Linked DNA regions of Tamandua tetradactyla. The protein of the gene in region 1 interacts with the protein of each later gene in a pairwise test. Links are inferred from orthologs where the notes say so. Each region holds a gene or a part of one and is shown on either strand. Other genes may lie near its edges.

Region 1 (7,805 bases):
AATTCATTCAGATCTCTCTTTCAAGAAAAAGCTTCCAAGCAACTCTTTTCTGGAAGGCATATTCTCAGCCCACCACAGACCAACTGCAAGTCTCTTAACTGTTCACTACCTGGTCTCTCCTTTTTCACCTGGATATTTATTAACAAACTTCTCATAGGCCTCTTTCAAGTTTGGTATATACTTCCTAGTGATTCACAAACTGCGTTCTCTCTCCAAGGATCTCTTAAAATCTTTCTTCTATAAAGTCATTCTTGAATGAATATGAAATAATTTTACTCCTCCACTCTCTCCCCACTTACAACCCCCAGCACAATTCTACACTTCCATCTTCTTTAGAAATATTCATTTAATTCTTGCACCTAGCATCTTATTTGTGTAACAGCTGCTTATAACATGTTGGATCGTTGTCCATCCTGTATGTGAAAAAGGAGGAATGATATCTCATTAAAGTGCACCTCACAGTTTTGGAAAAGCCTGATAACCACAACTAGTTAGTCACAGAGCTAAGTGGTAGAATACATTTCTAATGTAATACAGTTTCTAATGGATACAACTAAATTAGATATGGTGTGTCTGGTTTTATTTATGCCTAAATCCACAAAGGTACTTAGTCAGACTTGAGCCCAATCTGCCTTTTAACCACATCTCTAGCACTCTCTTCTTTCTCCAAGCCTCAGCAGGCTACATTTTTCTCAGGACTCCTCAAACACTAAGTGTGGAGTACCCCTTCTTTCCCCTCCCCCTCATCCTGCCCTCTGCCTGGCCAACTTTCTTTGAGCCTTCATTATTGGCTCAATCCCATTCATGCATTAGGAATCAACTGGAACAGCTCCTCTGACCCCCAGCTCCTAGTCAGGTCCTTCTCGCGCATTCTCATTGTACCTATATCAGCATACTTACTGACATACTGCATTATAATCACCACTTTACTATTCAATCAGCCCCACTGTACTGTAAACTCCTGGAAGGTTCAGGCTGAATTCCTCCCCATTTGTCTCCCCAAGACCTGGAACCATGCTGGCTGGGCACACAGTTAGATCCCCAACAGACAATCAGTGCCTGACTGCTGAGACCTACTAGTGAACCCTGGGTAGGCTCCATGTGCACCTGGGTTCCTCACCTACTGTATCTTCCTTGCATAAAGCGGGGACAATGCAACCCCTGGCTCTTAAAGTTGCTATAGAATTAAATGAGGCATCATGAAGCTCTTAGTACAGTGCTTGCCACAGAGAACCATCACATTTGAATGACTAACATTACATCCTTAGTTATCCTATGTATCCTGGAAAATGTCGTGTTGTTGTGAGCAGTATTTTCAGTTTGAAAGACCAGGCAATCACACATCTAAAAATCACTGGCTACCTTCTGATCATGAGCAAATATTTGTTGTGGACCTGTTATGGGCAGGAGTCCTAGCTGGGTATCACTGAGCCCCTAGAACCCAACAAAAGAAACAATAAGACAAAACCTGTACCAATAGTCAAGAGAAAAAAAGGATGCTGTTAGTTTTTCTGTACAAACAGTATAGGTATTTTTCAAACAATCTAAGTTTTGCTTTATAATAGGGGGAAGGCACATGAAAAAAACCAGGGATAGAAAAAGTTCAAAATTAACTCCTGTCATCAAGTGAACCAACAGGAGGAGGCAACTGCTTGTTGCTATTTCCAAATTTCACTTTTACTTAGACATATTTCTCACAAAGGAAATTTAATCATGACCAGGACAGGGACAGACGACCTTTACTTCTCATTCAAATGGAAATTCCACAGATAAGTCCCTAGATTTTTTCCAGTTAGTTTAATTTTGTAGCTTTGAAAAAATGGCTGGAGTTTCATCTGTTTTCTACAAACAGAATGTGGAACGGCTTTTTTTTTTCTTTACCACCTTTAAAAGAGGATAAAACGCACCCTTCTTAATCACAATAGCCTCTTGATAAGAATTACAAAACTGGACATGGTGCCACCTAGTATTAGGAAAGGAGGCTGTGGCCTTAAAACCATTTCCCCCCTCACCAACCCAGAGGTCAGAGTCCCAGTGAAGTTTGTACATTATACTACATTGCTTTGGGTAGCTGCAGAGAGACCTCTAGCGCTGCCTGGATAAGCCTAGTTTGCAAATAGTACCTGCTAATGTCACCTTAACGAGACAATGGCAACATGCTGAGTAGCAACGAACTCAGTGACCACGATGAATGTTTACAGTTTTGCAACCACTTAGGAAATCCTACCTGCTTGGAGCAAGAGATACATAAGGCCGAACGAACCCGAGCATCCAATTTTATTTCCGTAAAACCCTTCGAAGAAAGCATCCACCTTTGCAAACCCCACTCCAAGAAAGGCTAAGAAAACGGGTCCTGTTAGCGGAGGTCGGAACAACCTTTCCTCCAAAGCCTCCACACAATAGATGGTAAACTACTGACCATCTTCACCTTGCCCCAAATGCCAGCAGAAGCAGGAGCGGGAGCTGGAAGAGCTCAGCACGCCTGACCCAAAGGACAACCCTGAAATACAAGAAAATGGTCCTGGCGCATCCTACCCTCCCCCACCCACCATCCTCAAACCCGTCAGTTCCCCGGCTGGTCCCCACCCCCTCTGCGGACCGCCACCACCAGCCTTGGGCCCGGCTCGCCCGCGGGAGGCGCGGGAACGGGCCGCGCCTCGGTCCCCAGCGCCGGCAAGCTGGAAGCTGCACTGCCCGGGGGCAGCACCCCTGCCTGCGCGGCCCCCGCCTCGGCCCCGCGGCCCTCCCTCGCCGACACCAGGCCGCGCCCGCGTGACGGGGCCCACCACGCCGGCGACTCGCGGAGGGCGGCTGCAGCCCGGGCCTCCCCGCTGACCGCCCCGCCCGGTGCCTGCCTGGCCGCCAAAGCGCGCTCACCTCCACATCGCGGCCCTTGTTCTTGAAGCTCTTGATGCGGTGGTTCTCCAAGCCGGGGTTCTCGGCCATGGCTGCGCGCGACTCCGGCGGCGGCTCCTCCTGCGGCGGCGGCGGCGGCGAGTCTCGGCGCGGAGGGGGGGACCGCGGGCGGGGCGGGGGCGCGCGTTCCGCGACGCCGCTGGGCGCGAGGTGGCAGCAGCGCCGGGGGAGCGGACCGATGGACAGGCGGGGCGGGGCGCGGGGGGGGGGTGACGGCGCTGAGGGGCGGGGCGTGCCCGGGAAGGGGAGGGGGCGGGCACGTGACCGGGGGCGGTGCCCAGCCTGGTTCTGGGGGTGACCTCCGCCCCCTAGCAAAGCCTCCCCAGCACCCCTCGGGCTGCAAGTCATACACCAGAAATGGAGCCGGGTTTGGTGGCTTTTACTCGCCCGCGTGCGCGAGAGCCGGCCGGAGACTACAGTTCCCGGCATGCCAAGCTTCGGCCGGGGGAGATTCCTCGCGCCCTTGGGAGAACGAGGGGAATGCCGGGAGCCCTGCGCGCGCCTGGGCGCGAGACCCAGCCCCAGGGCCTCCTGTGGGCGGGGAAGGGGGCGGTGCTTCCCGGAGCTGCACCTTGCGCCCTCCTGCGACGGAGGGGGCGGGGCTTCCTGGGGAAATGAGAAAGGAGCTCCGCTTGTGCCTTGCTCCCTCGCTTCTCCGGACTCCTCCTGCAAGAGTACCACCACCCTCACCCGCTGTTCCCGGGCTCTGCTTTGGGCTGGGAAAAGAACATTTATTTCCACCTGACCTGTGCGTGGGTGTGAACGTGATATGTGTGTTTACGTCTGTGTTACCTGACTTACAGCACCGGAATTAAGCTCGGGGAGAGCAGGCACTTTGGTTGACATTTCATAGCTACTGGACAAACGATGGCGCTTCAGCACCTCCGGATTTCTTCAGCCTCCTCCCAATCCCCGTGCTGCCACCTCCATCCCCTCTGTGGCAGCCCCTGTACGTGTGTGTCCCTGACTCCTGGTCAGCCACCACGCACAATCTCAGTCTCAGAGGCCCTACTCCGCGGGCTCTCCAGTTAGCATCTCTTCTTAGGCTCTTCAGAGGAAGAATCCAGGGGGATTTGCCTCAGAACACTCAGAACTGTTTTCTGGGGCAGGTGGGCTTCGTTTAATTATTTGTGAAATTCAGTTTCAGACTCTGGTGGATATAAACAGGCAAAAAAATGTTATTGTACATGTAGTTCAAATGAACTGATGTCCTTCAAAGATTGCTAGAAAGATAACCATGATGAGATTACTCAAAGAACAGACTTTTAAGGGGCCTAAAAGAGCCAGAGGTCCCAAGGTCACAAACTCAGAGGCATTCAATGGCCAGGCAGGAAATCCAATGGAACTGGTCAGGCTATGTCCAGGGGCATTTGTTTTCTGAGTGGCAGGTGGCCAGTTGGTAAACACAGGACTATTTAAAGGCTCCAGACCCTTGTAGCCCAGTGTTGCCTGAGGGTCTAATTTTTCAAAAGAGTAACAAAGCTGGATTTTTTTTCCTTTATTTTTAAATGACACTTTTTTTTTTTAATGTACTTGGATATCCAGTCAGTATTCTGCTTTGAAACTGTTATATTCCCCAGAAAAGCCATGTTCTTCTAATCTATTCTCCTGAGTGGAAACTTTCAATTAGGTTGTTTCCATGGAGATGTGACCCACCTTATTCAAAGGTTGGTCTTAATCATCTTTACTGGAGTCCTTTATGAAAAGATAAAAGGCAGAGATATTTTGGAAAGGGCTCAGAAACAGAAATGCCCCAGGAGGAACAAGCAAACACACACAGAAGCTCAGAGACATTCTAGAGAGAAGGGCCAGTAGACATCACCATGTGACTTCCCAGGTGCAAGAGGAACCCTGGATACCATCGGCCTTCTTCAGAGTCAAGGTATCATTCTCAGGATGCCTTAATTTGGGCATTTTCATAGCCTTAGAACTGTAAATTTGTAATTTAATACATTTCCTTTGCAAAAGCCAGTCCATTTATGATATATTGTATTCCAGCAGCTTTAGCAAATCGTAACACTTAGGAACTCCAGGCTTTCAGTCTGCCACTCCTGGTCCCTAACCCTTTTGAAAGAAAAAAACATCACTAACAAAAAACTAGGACTTAAAATGAACAGATTTCTTCAACTCTCGTTCATAAAGATATAGAGGTGGCATATGTGTCACTTTCCCAGATTATCTGGGAGGGGAAGGAGAGAAAATTCTATACTGTTGCTGAATCCCTGTTATAATTAAGCAAGGTATTCTTTTATCCCCTTCTACCACCTCCCTTCATCCTACCTGCTGCCTTCAAATGTATAAACCTTTCTTGACTCATTTTGGAGTTTTAGACATATTTGGTGATCACTTACTGTGTATGTCAGCCTTGGTACTAGCATTAAGATCCTCTTGTAAACAGGACAACCTGGTTCCAGGAGACATCACAACAAAATAAATAATCACTCAGAAAATGGGGTGGAAGTTAAGAAAGGGTAAGGAAGCTCAAAGCCCTCTACAGGGAGACTTTTATAACCTGTCCATTCCAAACTTTTGAGGCTCTCAGAGCAAAAGTGTAAGTGGAGGTCTACAATTCATAGGTATAAATATTTAGAAGTTATAAATCAAGCTGAAAAACTTAAATAAAATATATTCTAGCCTCTTGCATTAACAAATGCACCTCTTCAACAACCTTAGAGTCTGAGTTCAAATTTAAATGTCTTAATTTCCCCAACTTCTGCTTCAGAAGGTGGCTTCTCAAGGAGGGTTGGGGCCCCACCCACATCTTGCTGTTTGTCCCCCTTCTCTTCCCTGTCCTGATTCTGTGCCACACTGTAATGACCCATAATGTTCAAGTCCTGCCTACTCATCCCCAAAGCTCTGTCTCCATCCTTCTACCTGCCTCAAGAGGGTTAGGCCTAGATGCACAAGCAGAGGTGGCATGATGTCTCCCTTGGAAGACAGACCCAGAGAAAACACTTGGAAAGACCCTGGGAACAGGCTTGGAGTGATTTGAGCAGGGAACCCCAGGGCACTGGTACTCAGAAATTGGTCCAAAGGTTCAGGTTCCAGTGAATAAGATCCTTTGGCCCCATGGACCCCTTTCCTCATGGAGGGGGGTGGTGGATACACCAGAAGTGAGTTGAGATCCTCTCAAAGTTAGTTTCCAAAGCTGGGACCCCTCTTGCCCAGGTCTAACTTAGTCACTTCTTGCCATTATCCCCTGGTGATTTCAACATCCACAACTCAGGAATTCCAGTCCTAGATTCTCTTCACATCTTAACTTCACTGGGTTTCTATCACTTATAACCTATCAGGCCTTGGAGTTCTTAATCTCCAGGAAATGACCACCTCCAGCAACTCAAATTTGGTGTTTCTCATGGCTAGCACCTACCTGCTACTTTTGGCTTCACTGTAGTCTTGACCCTTGCCCTGAAATTTCTCCTGGTAACTCTTCTTTTAAATAGACTTATTTTCCAAATATATGTTGAGTGCTCACCACCCACCAAGCATTGTCTTCATCAGGGAAACAGGGTCTGGGGGCGGGGGGTACCAGAACAGAGGTAGAAAGAAAGGGCCCAAAGCCAGGGGATCAGCCAAACCCTCCTTCATCCTCTGTTTCATCATCCATCATTCCCAAAGCATTGGGAATCTTGCTAGGTGGCGATACACAGCAGGCAATGCAAACCCAACAGATCCAAAAGGGAACGCATCATTTTCCCCTCAAATCAGCTTCTCTTTGTAAATTCTCTGGCTCTATGATGATATAGCCGTTCCCCCAAGGCCTCCTTGCTCAAAGCCAAGAGCCGTTTTTGCTTCCTGCTCTTCCCTTGGCTCTCTCACCCTGCTACCATGTTAATTCATCCTTCAGTGTTTTCTTAATCCTTCAGTGCCACCCACAAGACTGCCATTATGCCTCTCCATTCTGGTGGTTTGGCACTGTAGGTGCTCCAGAAAAACATGTTCTTAAACTTAATCCACTCCTGTGAGTAGGAACCCATTGTAAGCAGGACCTTTTGATGAAGTTCCTTTGGTTAAGGTGTGGTCCACCTCAAGCAGGATGGGTCTTAATCCTATTACTGGGGTCCTTCATAAGCAGAATGAAAGTCAGACAGAGAGAGAGAGAAAGCCACAAAAGGCACAAAGCTGAAATTCAATGGAATCTGGAAGAGATGGGAGAGACCAGAAGAGGCCACCATGTGCCTTACCATGTGACATGACAGAGGAGCCCAGGACTGAGGATTGCTAGCAGCCAGGCTCAGAACACCAGCCTCTGGGAAGAAAGATCACTTTGCTGATGCCTTGATTTGAACTTCTCCTAGCCTCAAAACAGTGAGCCAATAAATTCCCATGCTTTAAGCCAACCCATTGCATGGTATTTGCTTGAGCAACTAAGGAAACCAAACCATCTGTTCTCTCCACAATGACTCAAATCCCTTCTCCTGATTTTCCTGACTTTTCACCATGATCTGACCCAGACATCCCTCTTCCTCCACCACTGTTAAATCATTTCTAAACTCAGTCTGGTGATTAAGGTCATAAGTGACCTGGCCCCAGCATTGAACACTTCTCTTATTTCTGGTTTTCCTACACAAAGCTCATGCTTTACCCAACAGGTTTGATTCACCCTTTTCCAAACATGTTTTTGCCTTTCCAACTTCCCATCTTTGATGGTTTTTTGGGGGTGGGGAGGAAGATGCATGGACTGGGAATTGAACTCAGGTCTCCCGCAGGGAAGGTGAGCATTCTACCACCGAACCCCCTGTGCACCACTCCCCACCAACCTTGATGTTTTGATTTGCTTAGAAAGCCCCGCCCCTATCTTTGCCTGTCAAAATCAACCCTTCTTTAAATACCCATCCCAAGTCCATGAAACTTTCCCAGCTTGGCACAGTGGAGGGACCTTTCAAATC
Region 2 (7,239 bases), on another chromosome or scaffold:
GCATCTTTAAGTAAGAGCATCTTAGATTTGATTAAATACAGCAAAGGTTACAAGAGCAAGTTTCTTTTGGGAATATAAAAGAGTTCATTTAAATATAGGAGATATAAAATGTCTAGGGTTGCACAGAGAAGATACAATTTTATACCTGAGTAATTTGTAAAGTCCCCAGAGGAAAAAAGCCCTTGGTTATCTGTGGTCAGATGTTAATGCGCAAGACTTTTTTTTTTTATTAAAAGAGCAAGGATCTTAAGTGCAAACATTTATGAGGTGGAAATGATGCTGCACAATTTTATATGTGAAAATTAGCAAGTGTTACATAAGTAATCATTTCCAAAACGAAGACCCTCTGCCTAGGGTAAAGTACGTAAATGTCTGGGAAACTTGGTTCTTCTTGCTTCTGTGGTCCAAGCCTACAAAATTCCTAAAGAGTTTTGTGTCCATCCTTTGAACTTATATTTGATTCTATGTATCAAGGTTTTGTCCTAGCTGTGCCACAAACTAGTTTTGAGAAGTTACTTAAGTTCTATTGATCTAATTCTTCATCAGTAAAATGAGTGGTCTGGACAAAATGACTAAGGTTCTTCCAGCTTTAAAGCTCCACAATTCTTTTCCCTTATTATCCTTATGTCAAAGGGCCTGAATAGAATGTAAAGAACATCATTTACTTAAGAAAGGTAACTTTTCTTCTTTTCTCTTAATTGTCACTAGGGACTATAAGAGTTCTCTCTGTCACCAGTACAGGATTTTATCATTTGGATTGCAGATTTATTGGGGGTTGGCAAAAAAAAATATCCATCGCCCTAAAATTAAAAGGTTCTGATCATAAATATCTCTTCCATTTTAGAGTTTCTATATAAACAAAACTCTGTCTGAAGCTTTTTGAAGTTAAGTATACTTGTTTTGATTTTGTTAGGGAAAAAAAACAAAAATCACCTGGGATCATCACTCCATAAATTTAGTCCTGCAAAAGACAGGAATGTTTAAACACTTCAAAAAACCATTAGAACTCAGAATGGAAAAATAAAAAGTTATCTAGTTACCCTTACCACAGTAAAGAATTGAAAACATTTTGTCGGCAAAACCTGGCTTCTTAATTTTTATTATATAAAGAAAACTATATATTAGTTTAAGTCATTCTTAATGCATTTGCCTCTTATTGTGTAAACTTTAAAATGTAAGGATTTCAACAAGTCCAAGTGGCCACATTACAGATACTAGAAGAATTCTTGAAAAATTAAATACATACAAATAAGTGAGGAACCTCTGCTCTTTCTATGTTATCTCATTAAATGGCATCAAATTGTATCAGTAATGGGGATACATAGCTTTTTCAAAATGGTCCAACACAGTACCATGACACAGTGATCTCTACTTAAGCTCACTTTAGCTTCTACTCAAAATGTTGTAGAAAAATAGTGCAAACTATGGCTGAAACCTGCAAGGTAAACTCAAATTTTAGTGGTAAGCATAACAAGACCTTGCTATATTTTAAACCTCATAAATCTGGGAAAGTTTCACATTCATTTCTTGAATACATCCTCAAAACATTCCCCTCCAGGTAGGCCTCTGAATGGAAACTCTTGGGAAACTTTTAAAATCCCATGATCACCTAAATAGGATTGGTCTAACTCCCTCTGTCCCTCTGTGACCCTACTGTACCTTGCAGACAGTATTAACAGGAAATCACTAAAGCCTGTTTCCCTAACATTAACTCTAAAACAGTTATCACTCTGACAAGTGGGTTTTAATTCTGCAAGTTTGAGAGCAATCAATATGTGCCAAGCTCTTAGTTGTACCATTTTTAATAAAGGAAAACATGAAAAATCATTTTCATTAGTTTATTGAACTTCTGTGAAAACAGATTAAGCTTTATTTACACACATATTATGTATTTATGTACAAATACATAAATATAAACAGTATGTAACATTTTGACCTCAGCACTTTTGGGGGCACACAAGAACAATGTAAGTTCAAGTAGCCCATTTCTCCTAACTTTATCCTCAGTCTCCAAGAATAAATATGCTAAAGTAAATATGCTACAATTCGGAAGAGTAGAAATTTTGCATTATCATTAACAGCCATCTCCTATGCGCTTTCTCATATCCATAAAATATACTGGTCTGGGCTTTAATAGTCTTTTTATCTCCAGTGCTGATATATTCTGTGAACTGAGTGACAGAGGAGAGACTGATGGAATACCAGCTCTTAAGCACCTTAACAGACTTCCTATATGCAAACTCCGTAGTGATTCAAAGCCTGAAACGGACAAACGGGCATATGAATCTTAATTTCAACCTTACTGAAATAAGTTGGGCAAATCTAAGCCTCAGTTCTCTCACCTGTAAAATGGGAAAATAACAGTATCTCATAGTTATGAATAACAAATTAAATAATGCAAGTAAAATGCGTTAACACAATAGTGTTGTTATTCCTGAAAAGCCACCCTTCCCCTTCTTTCTCAGAGCTACAAACTGGTAAGATCGAGGTATACAAACCAAGGATGAGAAAGAAATGAAGAAAAGTAAAACCAAGACGCAAACAACTCTGAAAATTCCCTCTTCATTCCCGGGAGCGAAGACTGGGGACCCGAAAGTGAAACCCCGACTTACTCGCTTCCTGCCGCAGCGGCTGGAAGAGAAAACACTGACGAATGTGCGCTAAGGTAAACAAACTCAGTGACACCGCCCAAAGCTCCCTGTGTGGGGAGGATGGCGCAGAGGCAACTCCGAGCCGGGGACCCCCGCTGGCTTGCAGAGCGCGAGCAGACCACCCGAGGCCCGACCGACCTGAGTCGTCCCAGTCTGTGCGCCCGGACCCCACTGAAGACCACCGGGCCGACCCCTCACCTCCACCAGCCGGCAATTCCCGGGAACAAAGTGGATGGAGAGCTCGTTCTCCCGCCCCACCATCCCCGCCGTCTTTGCGCCGCGGCCGTCGCGGCCGCCACCTCCGCCAGCCCAGGACCGCCGCGAGCCTTCGCTCCCTCCGCCTGGGCCCGCCTCCCTACCAGGCCAGCCTCTGCTCTCCGCTTCCGGCTTCCGCCGCCAGGGCCACGCCTGTTGATTGGACAAGCCCCGTCTACACGCCAGAAAGGGGCGGGCGCACGCGGGACGCTCTCAGCCCACGCGCCAGTTCTTAAAGTCATACACACAGCGGTGGCCCCAGACTTAACAATAACTACACGTTTTGTTTTAAGGGGTTTTGATTATGTGTGTGCTTGTTTCCTTTCTTCTTTTTCTTGTGGTCGCGGAAGGGTTGAATTTTGGCGTGAATGGAAGTTTACAGACTGCTCAATGCAAAAGACTCAACTGGGTATAAGAGAGACAGTGTACTGAAAAACATTTAAAAGTCTTGAGGAGTGTGGGGTTTTATAGATGTGGAAACAGACAGGGAATAAAAATAAGAAATTTGCATCTGAATCAGTAACACTTCAGGGCCCTGTTTGTCTTTCTCGGCTACTTTTAAGTAAATAAAATAAAAATAATAAGGCATTTGGGGGGGAGGGGGCGGGGCGTGAATTCTTTAAGAATCTGCTCAAAAAGCAGCTTCTTGGGCTTAACCCATATCTACAAAATAAGAATCTGGGGTCAAAGCCGGAGGAATCTACATTTTAGTGGTTGCAAGGGGTCTGAACACCGCACTTTAAGAAGCACCATCTTAGGGGCCGCAGTGCTGAGCAACGCCAGCTTAACTAAAGAAAGCCTTTGGAAATTTAAGGAAGGACTCGAGGGGCGAGTGCAATGCTGAACATTCTGCCACCTGTATCGCTGTTTAAAAATGATTCGGTTACAACAGTCCTGTTGAGACCGCCCTAGCACGCAACTAACTGATTTCCCTTTCAGTTCAAAACCGCAGGAGGCCCCTTCCAGCCAGGATGTCTAAGGAATTTTAAGCAGAAACAACAAAAATAAAACAAAATAAAAAACCAAGCTCAGACCTTGTAGGGTTCTCCCACTGTTCACGAATACTCTGAACGTTTTTGTTCAGACTCAGAGCAAACCGTGGTCTGAAGATCGCCCACAATGTGCCCACAATTTTTCCAAGAAAGACTTGTTTTAATAATACTTTCGGTTTTAGCTTATAAGCTAAATAAAACCGAAAATTATTCGGCTATAAGCAGTCTTTAAAAGTAGTTCTTCGAGGTCTGAACCCCGTGACTTTAATTTTTACCCATCCCCCAACAAGTACCCATTTCCTTTATTTGGCGTAAATCTAAAGTCCTTTTCAGAACCGTAACCGAAAAGACCCTGGGGCTCCTCACGTTTCTATTTTGGTGGTAATAGACGCTGTTCATTAGTTTAGCATCATTAGGGAATCCCAGACAGGACCACTCGGTCACTAAATATGCATAATCGGCAAACAATGAAAAGAAGGTGTGAGGGTTTGCTCCTCAAGAAAATCTGGGATTTTGTTTAAAGTTTCCAGTTGCAAATTCAGTCTAATCTTTCTAGGAAAACAAAAAATTAAGTATTCGATATGAATGAACATTTGGACATATATACGCAATAAGCATTTTGATTCCCATAACAGCCTTATCTCGAGTCAGGAATAAAAAGAGTTTACTTGCCTATATTTGAAGCCCTGGGTTTAGGATACTGGCCAGATAAAAAGTTGGGTATATTCTAGTTGCATATGTTCGTCTATGGCTTTCAGTCATACTATTTATGATGAAAGGTGCTATAAGAATAAATCGTTATTCAAAAAATATCCAAGTTCCTGACGTGGCTAAGTGTATAAATGCAAAGACTAGAAATTAGGTTGGCAGATTCAATTCATGCAAAGACAAAGGCTGGAACACACAACTATAAATAAAATCCTTACTTATATACAAACGTATGTATACAAATGCATATATCATTGCGTTTAATCTGGTAAGTGAAAGTGCTATTCTGTTGTGTGTTTTATTTTTGTCAATTAATGAAACTTAGATGAGATTTCCATAGCTTCGTTTCCTGGGTCAACAACTAAAGTTGGTTTAGTCTTCCGAGTCAGAGGGTTATATGTTTTAAAGAAACGAACGACACCCGTTTTTATTTTCATTACTGGGATGTTTTTAACGCAATTCTAACTCTGGGGTGCTTTGTTTCGTGAACAGCTAGCTCTTACCTGTTCTAGGTCTTCCGGCATTTCAGGCATGATTCCAAAATTATTTTCAGGAAAACAGAATGGACCTTAGCTTCTGCCTCCTCTCGCTGGGTCTTTGTCTGCTTCTGCCTGCAGAGAGCGCAGGCACGAAAACTTGAGCCGCCGCTTCACTTGACCTTTTGAATTAGCAGTTTGATTCCAATCCCAGAAACTCGTGCAGTTTTTCCACGTTGCAGTAAACTGGCAGCTGATTCCCTGTGACTGGCTTGAAAATACCCAATGAGAAGTTTCATGTTTAATTGCCAGCCAAGCGAGGGTCTATTTGCAGAACAATATGTTAGGTAGAACAAACTTACTAAAAACAGGAGCGCACTCCTATGTTCTGTGGAGCCTCCTTGCAATCTCTCTTGCAGTAGAAAAGCGAGGGCCAGCCGTTGGGAAGTATGCCAGCCTCGCGACTGATTCCTGTTCTGAAATATTTAATTCAGTTATTCCTTTTTACAACAGAAAATATGTAGTATATTTCTCCAGTGCTTTCTCCCCAGTGCTTTTTAAATGACTAATTCAAAAATCTGTAAAAGGCACCGCTGGTAACAACACAAAAAGTTAAAATGCAACAAGTCATTTCTATTAACATTTTGCTGCCCTTTTAAGTATTTAAGAAAATGGTAGATGAAGTGACCTTAAGTTTGGACAAATGTTAAGGATTTCCAGATCAGTGATTCCCAAGGCTCTCTGTACGTCAGTGGAACTAAATTATTTCCTAGAGTATGGCACATTGATCTCAGTTTCAAATAATATTAAGAGTGATAAGTATGTTCTGTTAAATTTTGAACTACTGTTCTAGATTATGACTTTGTGCCAATTTAACCATTTAAAATACCAGTCAGATAGAGCTAAAAAAAATGACAACTCTGAAACATTTAGAGGACACAGTTATAGTAAATTCCATGAAACACTCAGAGGAGTCCATAAGTTTACAGGAAAACTTTTGTGCATGTTTGTGTATTTCAATAAGTATCTTAGAAATTTGTATTGTCCAGATTAAAAGCTAAAACGTAACACTTTAGAGGAAAATGAAAGGGAATATGGTCAAAATCTAAGAATAAACAAATTATTTCTTAAATATGACAGGGAAAGTCAAAACCATAAACTTTTTAAAAATTGATAAATTAGACTTCATCAAAATTAAAAACGCACTCAAATCGCAGACGAGGAAAAATTATCCATACATACATCTGAAATGGATTTATATTCAGAATATATGCCAATTACTATAACTCAATAATAAGAAAACATTCAATGGACAAAAGCTTTGAACAGACACTTCACAAATGAAGTTATGAAGGTAGTCAACCAGTACATAAAAGATGTTTATCATCAGGTAGATGCAAATTAAAACCACATTAAGACATCACAACAGATTAAAATCTGTTAAAATCACAATGGTTAAGATCTAAAATACTGATAATATTAAGTGCTGATGTTTCTAATAACAGTCTATGGCTACCGGATGCCAGGGGACCTCCTCCTAAAAAGCCGATAACAGACCTGCTTTAGCCAAGGACAAAGGTCAAGAAAGTAAACGATCTCCCCAGAGGGGGAAGAATGTAACTACAGAGGTGAAAACCGCATTGATTTTATCTTAGTCTTGAACACTAATCTTAGTAAATATTAGGTTTTAGGCCCCTTTAAGGATTATACTAGAGACCTGATGCCCTCATACTATGTGGAATGTCTTTGTTCTGTAATCATATATACCCTCTTGCATTCCTGTTCCCTTTGTGGAGTGTTTAAGTCAGGCAGCTGCCACTGAAGAACTTCTGTTCATGCATCCCAGTAAACCCATGTCCGCTTCTGTGCCTGGTGTGTTTTTCAGTCTCCCAGCCACAGCCTCCCATGCTTGGTATGAGCTCGGTCTGGGCAAGAACAGTCTCTTCTAAGCAATCTAGGCTTTTTCTATCAAGCGCCTCAAAATACTTCCAGCTTCCACCACCCATTACCAAATTGCAAAGCTGTTTCCACATTTTTTAGGTATTTGCAATAGCAGCAGTCCACTGTCCAGTACAAACAACTATTTTAATTTCCCAGCTGCTAAAACAAATACCATACAATGTTTAAATAGTATTAAACAGTTTCAGCAAAGGGAAT
Region 3 (7,952 bases), on another chromosome or scaffold:
CTCGGCAGCGGCCAGAGTGACCTAGCTGGGCAGTCGTTCTGTCAGGCCTCAGTTTCTGGGCCCTCGGGGCTGCTGCCTTTATTCCGGAAGTGCTCTCTACTCCGCTTTTTGCTACCATGGAAGCCAACAGCCTCCACCACTGGGGGCCCCCCAGGGTCAAGCACTGACTCACTGCGGGCAACCTCCTCGGGCAGCCCCCCCTCAGTCTCAGGACTTGCCACTAGATGGGCCAACTCCACGGAGTCCTCGGCCTCTGCCAGCCCCAGGTCCCCAGGGACACTCCTGCCTGGCCCTCCTGCCTTGCCCAGGACCCTCTTCCTCTCAGGTCTGGCCTCACCAGCCCGGGCCGGTTTGGAAAAGATGATTCTTCCTTCCCCGCGGCTGGAGGGGTCCTGGTTGAAGGAGGGCGCATAGTGAGTGGGGGCAGCCGGGCCCCGGGAGCCCAAGAATGCCAGGGCTGCAGCCTTGTTGCTCTGCTCGCTGGCTTCGGCCACGTCCTCCAGGCTGTACCTGGTCCAGCGCTCGGGGTGGGTCACGTAGTCAGGGACAGATGGTGCCCTCAGGGGAGCAGGGTTTCGACCAGACCTACCCAGGGCCTCTCTGAGAGGCTGGCTGGGGGGCACAGGGGGCAACTTGAAGTCCCCATCGTCACCCACGCTGGTGACATGGGCCAGAGAGGGCAGGGCCTGCTTGGCCGCCCCCTCCAGGCAGTCAAAGATGTCCCGGCTGCGCTGCGAGAAGGTGGAGCTCATGCCTCTCAGGTGGAACAGCTGGACGGGGGCTCCTGGGAGGTCCAAGGGGAGACTGGGGGGCTCATCAGGCTCAGAATCCCCACCAGCTTTACCAGGCAGCCCCTCAGGGGACAGAGCTTCCACCTCAGCACCGACCGGCAGGCTGAGGTCCGAGTCCGACTCCGAGTCGCTGAGGGAGACTGTGTCAGAAGGCAGGGCATCATACTCTGCCCCACGCTCGGCATCCAAGCTGGGGGACGGCTCGCCTGCCCCTGCCTCCGCCATGTGTGCCGAGGGCTGCACCACACCTAGACGCAAACAGCCCAGGGACTTAGAGCTGCCTCTACAGAGAAAGGGCCTGGGTCCCACCCTTACCCATGGATAGCCCTCTCTCACCTCCCTCGTTTCCTGGACGCTTGAAGCTGGTGCCTAAGTGCTGGCTGGCGAGGCAAAGGCGCCCTGACCCAGTTCCGCGGCTGCAGAGGCGAGGTCTTCCCAGTCCCAGGAGACTCCCCAGCACGGCTCTGCTTGGCTGCTCAGCTACAGCTGGATGAGGGTTGGGGAAGAGACTCAACCATCAGGCCAGAGAGTGAGCGTGCAAAGTGGCACTCACGAGGGAGCCTGTGTTCACCATGCCCCCAGTGCATGCTAGGCACTGCAGGAGGCACTACCAACACATTACTTCACTTAATTCCAATAACCCTCTTAAGACAACATCGTCTTAAGTGCAGGCTGCAGAGATGGAGGCTCAGCAGACTCACTGGCCTACTTGGGGGTGGGGGGGATTTCACTGGTCCACAACTCAGCTAGGGTCTGAGCCTAGGATGAGGACAGCCTCTGCTCACGTACTGCAGGGCCCTTGACGAACTGCTTAACAGAGTACCCAGCACAGACTCAGTATCCCACAGAGGTCGGGGCACCTTCCTGGTCCATGGGCAGGAAGTTGGCATGTACTTGCAGGGAACTGCCCTGGGAGCTCTGAAGAGATCAAGACCTTCGCATCCAAGTCTTGGAAAACTGGGGAGTCAGTGACCACCTGGAGCAGCTTTTCTGACAAACAGGCCCTAGGCAGCTTCTGGAACAACCTCCATTCCGCATCTCCCCTGCGGCATCCAGGCAGTCAGAGAAGTGCTGGAGACACAGGCAGGGTCTGGCGTCTCTGGGAGGCTTGGAGCTTGGCTGACCGCAGGCTGAGGACAGCGCGGCCTCGCCCCCAGCCAATCGCCACCACCACCTCCTCCTGCCCAGCTTCGCTGGCTGCTGCACCCTGAGGATGCAGACAGGCCAGGAGGGGCTGAGAGCTCCCTGCCGGGCCAGACACGGGGAGATCTCAGGGTAGGAATAATCGGCCTAAGTTACCCAGTTCCAGCCGGACTCTGCTTCCCCAATTCGCACTGTCCTCTGCACCCCGGGGACGCTGCCGCGACTAATCAAAGTAGCCTGGTGGGCGGGACTCCTGGAATAAAGGAAATTCAGCTAGCGGAGCGCAGAGTTGAGCGGAGGCTGAGGGTCTAGGCAGCCGGGGACAGGGGGCAGCTTCCTACGGTTGTCTCTCCCCTCGGGACCCAGCGAGCTAGCACGCGCAGGCTCCCCACGTCGGGGAACCACGGGACGGCTCTCGGGAGCCGGTAGATTCTGGCCGGATAGGTCCCGAAGGCCAGGCCGCGAAGGGAGGGGGTCCTGTGTGCCGCGGGACCTCTGGGCTCGGGGATGCGGACAGCCGCCTCCCAGCCACAACCTACCAGCTCTCGGCGGCCTTCGCCTCCATCTTGATGGGCGCGCCCGCCGGGTCGCCGCGCTCGGCCTTCTGGGAAACCGAGTCCTCTGAGGCCGAACGCGGCGGCTCCCGCGGCCAGAGAACTACAACTCCCACAAGGCACTGGGGGCGCGGCGCCCGAGGCATGCCGGGACTGCTAGGCCAGGGGGCGTCGGCGTGCGCGCTCCCTATAATCTCCGCGCGCTGGGGGCTAACAGCCCAGGCAGCGGCGGCGCTTCTTCTAGAACGAAGCCCGAACTGACTCAGACGCGGAGGGGTGCGGGGGCCCGGGCTGCGACACTCACAATCCTGAGGGCTAACGGCCAGCGTGAAGCTCCAGGCGTCCCAACACCACCAGGGGAGGGGGGCCGCAGGGAGAGCGCGACGGCCCACGCCGGAAGCGCGGCCTCGAGCGCCGCTAAGCGGGGTGGGTCCTTCGGACCTCAACCGGAAGAGGCGGTGCCTCGCGCCTCAGCCGGAAGGGGCGGTGCCTCGCGGGTGCTGTAGTCCGAGTTTCAGCTCCGGGGCCGTCTGCCGGCGCTCGTGCGCTTTCCGCCGCGTTCCCGTCCCCGCCTCGGCCAGCTGCCGTGCCAGCTCCGCTCCGGGCCTGGCTGCAGCCGACACGTAATGCGGGCGCAGTCTGGGCACCCCGCTGGCCTGGGTGCCTCCCACCCGCATCCCAGGCGCTCCCCGACCCCGGCCCCGCGGACCTCCTGGTTCCCTCAGGGACGCGGCCGCGGCCAGCCATCCCCGCCACGTGGGCTCTGACGACAGCGGGCCCCATCTGGGCTTTCTACCCGGGGCACTGACGGCGCGCCTGCCTCCTTCGGTCACCGGGGAGACGCGCCTCAGGGGAAGTGAAAGGGAGACCTGCAGGTGGGGAAGCCAGGGCCCAGCGTTCGCCTGGCTGCGTCCTCCCAGGGCCCCCGGGGAGAGCCCGAGTAGGCCTGGGGGCCGTGGCCCGGACGGCCCCGCCTCGGGAGGCTGGCAGCCTGTTGGAGGGGCCCGCTGCTGTGAGGCAGGTCACGTCCGCACAGCAGAGAAGGAGGTCCTGGTCTCCCTTCCCCCGGGACGGCTGATGAGCCCATCCGTGAGGCCCCTCAGCTGCCCAGCTCCACTTTTAGGGGGACGGGGTGGTGGTCGAGAGAACCTGCCCTTTTCCCCGGCCTGGCCTCTCCTGGGAACCCAAGGACTCAAGGTCCTGTGTGGTCCAGCCCAAAAAAGACCCAGAGGGGTTTGAGACGTGCCCCCTCTCAGTCCCTGATGTGCTGGGCAACCCTGAAATACCCCATTTGTGAGGCTCAGTCCCCACCTGCCTCATCAGGATCCCACTGTCGAGTGAACCATAAACTTACTTTTGGACCCCACGTCTCATCCTGCAGCATGCCATACGCGAGGCTATACCCAGACCACCAGGCCACAGTCTTGGGCAGGGATCCAGGGGCAGCAGAAGGGGCTCCTTGGACCATCCTGTGCTGTCCCAACCTGCCCGAGCGTCAGTAGTAGGGAATGGGGGAGGCCTGCTGAGACCCCGGGGCAGGACTGGAAGTCCCTGACATAGTCAGATAGGCACTTGTCAGGACTATCCCTGACATAGTCAGATGGGCACTTGTCTCTGGGGGCCCAGCTGAGCTCATGACACCTTCACTCAGCATCCTTGGGCTCCCAGGGAGCGGGGGACCAGGCAGCAGGGTCTGGGCTGCACTCACTGAAACCTCTAGAACAGAAAGACCTCCGTGGGCCCAGGGAGCAGGCCAGGTGGTCTTCCCCACCAACCCTACTCCAGCCTCCCAGCTTCTCCTGATGGGCAGTGAAGAGTCCCTCACCCCTTCAGGAGGGGAACATGTCAGAAGGAAGGGGAAGGAGTGCTAGCACCAGGCATCCATGCCAAATCCTTGCAGTCCCAGGCAGACAGCAGCCCCAGAGCAGCCCTGGTGCTCTCAGATGGGGTGTGGGGCTCTGACGAGCATGAGGAAAACCCAAGGCTGGAACAGCCCTCAGAAGCAGGGAGGAGTGGGGGGTGGGATCTTGTAGCCACATGGACCGTTGTCCAAGGACCATGGGTCCACCATTGCCAGGTCGGGTCCAGAGCCAGCTGGGGCCCCCCAGGCCTCTAGCCATCCCCGGGGTGTGGCATTGCCTGGCACAGGAAGGGGCTCGGGCAGCCACGTTAGCATGCCTGGTTTTCCTTTTTTATTGAATGACTGTTCCAAGATGTTACAGTTACAGTTGAAGATGACATGTTAGAAAGGATAGCTGCAAGAAGGCATACGGGTGCTCTAGAAAAGGGGTGGGAGGAGGAACGCGGATTAAAAAAGGCGGGAGACGCCCAGCCCCCAGGTCAGGCTGGGGTGGGAGGACACAGCCCATCAGCCGGGACAGGTGCCCCCCTGGACAGCTGTGCTGGACAGACAGAGCCCCCAAGGCAGGGACTCCTCGTGGACCCCTCCCCTGCTTCCCCAGGCTGGGCCCAGGCCCTTCTCCTGCCACCTACGCCTGGCGCAGGCCCCAAAAGGGTAACAGGAAACCAGAACAAAACAAAACCTCAAAAGTAAAAATGCTAAGTATAGCAGGGTAATACCGGAAACGTTATATACACAGGTGGTGCCAGGGGCCGCCTAAGAGATGGCCGGGTCATGAGGGGAGGGCCGTGGGGGTCCCACTGGCTGGCTGCTACCCTCTGCCCTCCCCCACCCCACAGCCAGGGCTGCCGGGGCCTCAGTACACGGAGCTGTTCCGGATGCCGCAGCACAACACCATACTCAAGATCATCTCGAAGATCTGCGGGGACAGGGGTGGGCACGTGAGGTACAGGGAGATAGTGACTGGCCCCCCAGACCCCCGCGGCCCAGAGTCCCAGCCCCCACCCGCCCGAGCCGGCTCACCATGATCACAGCAACCACAATGGCGGCGATGCCGATAAGGTACAGCTTTCCCGAGAAGAGGTCGTCGATCTTCTGGTGACAGTCCTCCTGTGGGGAACACAGGAGTCATTAGGGCTGCAGGGCACCAGCCCTTGGCTCACTGTCCCACCCCCCTGCCCACACCCTCCCTCCTGGTGCTACAAAGCTTCACAGAAAAAGTATGGGAAATACAGGAAAAGCACCAAAGGAGCTTGCCCCTGCCTCCTCCTAGCCATGTTGGGCCAGTGCGCACCACCCCCCTGCCCCCAGCTCAGAGCCCCTTGCACCCATCTGGGGGCCTGCACGGTCACAGTGGCCTCCCAGGGGCACCAGGAGTGCCGGCCTCTCACATGGGGCCGTAGATGGCTGCCTGGGGGAGCCTGCAAGCTGCCCAACTCCTCATCCCCAGATCCCCAGACAGGTCCCCCCAGAAAGATGTGTTCAACTTGTCGCCCCACCCAGCGGGCGCATGCCCACGGGAAATGGGACCTCTGCAGAGAGGCCCAAAGGGACTGGGGTGGGCCCTACACCAATGGGACTGAAGGCCTCACACGCTGGGGACATTGAAACTCGGCCAGGGAAGGCGAAGGGGCCGCCGGGGAAGCAGCAGGCTAGTGCCGGCACAGCACACAGCCTGGGAGAAAGACCCTGGCGCTTTAGACGCTGTGAGACAAGCCCCCAGCAGGCAGCTTTGTCCTGGGAGCCCCAGCAGACGGAGATAGCAGATGCCATGGCCTTCCTCGGCCACACCTTGACCCCCCAGCCACAGTGTCCCAGCAAGGGGCAGCCTGCCCACGCTGGCCAGGGACCCGCCACCCAGAAACAGTCAGGCCCAGCCCCACTCCTGCCTCAGGGGTCGCCCCGAGGGGCGTGACGTACCTTGAGGAAGTTGCTGATGATGTTGCTGCCCGATGGACAGAGGTTATTCTTGGTCAGTGTGCTGGCCAGCATGGTCAGGGTGCTGGAGCCACAGCAGTTGAGCTGCAGGGAACGAGGGCAGTGGTTGGGCCAGGGCGTCACGCCTTCCCACCAGCCCTCGGCCGGGACAGAGTGATGGGGTGCGGTGAGGTCTGGGGGATGCTGAGGACCCCAGGATCAAGCAAAGGGCGGAAAACTGGGCCCCAGCAGCACCCCGTCTGGGTTCCCAGGGGTGCAGAGCTCAGGGGACCAGGCTCCTGCCTCCCGCAGCTCCAGGCTGAGGCCAGGACCTGACCCCCGGCCCCCGCACCGTCTCATGGAAGGTCTTCACGACGGTCTTAGCCTTGTTGTCGTCGTCGTCCACCACAGCCTGCTGCAGCGCCTGGTCGTAGAACTGCTTCACGTCCTTGGCGATCTGGGGGGCGGGCGGGCACCCCTCAGTGGAAGCGGTGCACCCACACTCCCAGGAGGCAGGGACACGGCCCCGCTCTGCCCGCGGCTCAGCCCCGAGGCCGCCTCCCCCAGAAAGCCCTCCGTGACTTTGCTCTCAGCCCCGAGGCTGCCTCCCCCAGGAAGCCCTCCGTGACTTTGCTCTCAGGTGGGCCCCAGGGGAGCCCATCCCCGGCTAAGGGCCAACCCGCCCGCCCACACCTGAGCACAGGGCCCTCTCCGCTGCCCCCCCAGGCTCTGGCTCACCTGGTCTTTGTTGACGAAGCCCCAGATGCCAGCGGCCACTTCACAGGCAAAGAGGATCACCAGGCAGGTGAAGAACTGGGTGGGGTGGGGGAGGGTGCAACATCAGAACAGGACAGGACACCCAAACAGCCCACGTTCCGGACCAGACCCCAGGGTCTGCCCGCTGACCCTTCCCCAGGCCCGCGAGAAGCACTGCCTACTCCATCTCCCAGGCTTGTCCATGAGAACTGCAGCTGCTCCTGGGCCTGCCCCATGACCCCCAATCTCCTGAGGATCCCAGGCCCGCCCTCACCCTGTCCCTCAGTCCCTGCCCCCCCACACCTCCCCTGTAGTCCCCAGGTCCACCCCACAGTCTCCCCACTAGCCCCAGCCCGGCCATGGCCCCCCTGCCAGTCCCTGCCTGACCCCACCCTCCCACGGTCCCCAGCCCACCCCAAGCCCCCTGTGGCCCCCGACCCAGTGCCCCGCCAAGCTCTCACAGTCCCCAGCAGACACTGTGACTCCTGGATAGCTCCGTAGCAGCCCAGGAAGCCAACGAACATCATCACGGCGCCCACAGCGATGAGAATGTAGATACCTGGGGGAGGGGGCGTGGTCGGCTGTGTAGACGCAGTGGCTGGCGCCCCAACAGCCTGAGAGCAGGTGCAGTGAGGCGGAGCCCCTGTCCCCCGCAAGCTGGCAGGGCAGCACCCTTTCTGCCGCTGTCAGCATCAGCACTTGGCCGCCTGTCCCCAGGGGCTGCACTGTGACAACTGCCCCAGGATGCCCTTATCAGACAAGGTGGCCGCGCTGGTGGGGGGCAGGGGTCCCTGGTCCCAGGACAGCACAGTGACAGAGTGGCAGGGAGCACTCAAGAAGGGCCAGGGGTCCGTGTCTCCTCCTCCCTCCCTCCCACCTCCTGCAGCCCTAGGTGGGCTCTCCATGGTGGGGGCGGTGCTGAAGGGCAGG

The links.
Region 2: the proteins of KPNA3 (region 1) and MAT2B interact in binary tests that used the Homo sapiens proteins (3 or more experiments, as listed by UniProt). The two-hybrid records come from large-scale screens. The link is inferred for Tamandua tetradactyla from reciprocal best matches to the Homo sapiens genes KPNA3 and MAT2B.
Region 3: the proteins of KPNA3 (region 1) and TSSC4 interact in binary tests that used the Homo sapiens proteins (3 or more experiments, as listed by UniProt). The two-hybrid records come from large-scale screens. The link is inferred for Tamandua tetradactyla from reciprocal best matches to the Homo sapiens genes KPNA3 and TSSC4.

What each region holds. Positions count from the first base shown.
Region 1 is NC_135330.1:108,182,300-108,190,104, reverse strand, and holds the start of KPNA3 (importin subunit alpha-4), read right to left. Parts: upstream 3,011-7,805; 5' UTR 2,947-3,010; coding exon 2,878-2,946; intron 1-2,877. UniProt on the Homo sapiens protein: Functions in nuclear protein import as an adapter protein for nuclear receptor KPNB1. Binds specifically and directly to substrates containing either a simple or bipartite NLS motif.
Region 2 is NC_135346.1:44,625,396-44,632,634, reverse strand, and holds the start of MAT2B (methionine adenosyltransferase 2 subunit beta), read right to left. Parts: upstream 3,001-7,239; 5' UTR 2,913-3,000; coding exon 2,850-2,912; intron 1-2,849.
Region 3 is NC_135335.1:2,280,607-2,288,558, reverse strand, and holds the start of TSSC4 (U5 small nuclear ribonucleoprotein TSSC4), read right to left. Parts: upstream 3,001-7,952; 5' UTR 2,793-3,000; intron 2,579-2,792; exon of another isoform or gene 2,474-2,578; intron 2,188-2,473; exon of another isoform or gene 2,091-2,187; intron 1,278-2,090; 5' UTR 1,128-1,277; intron 1,040-1,127; 5' UTR 1,017-1,039; coding exon 42-1,016; 3' UTR 1-41. Other genes in the region: CD81 antigen, read right to left, coding at 5,206-5,268, 5,373-5,459, 6,270-6,371, 6,619-6,723, 7,005-7,079, 7,484-7,581. UniProt on the Homo sapiens protein: Protein associated with the U5 snRNP, during its maturation and its post-splicing recycling and which is required for spliceosomal tri-snRNP complex assembly in the nucleus.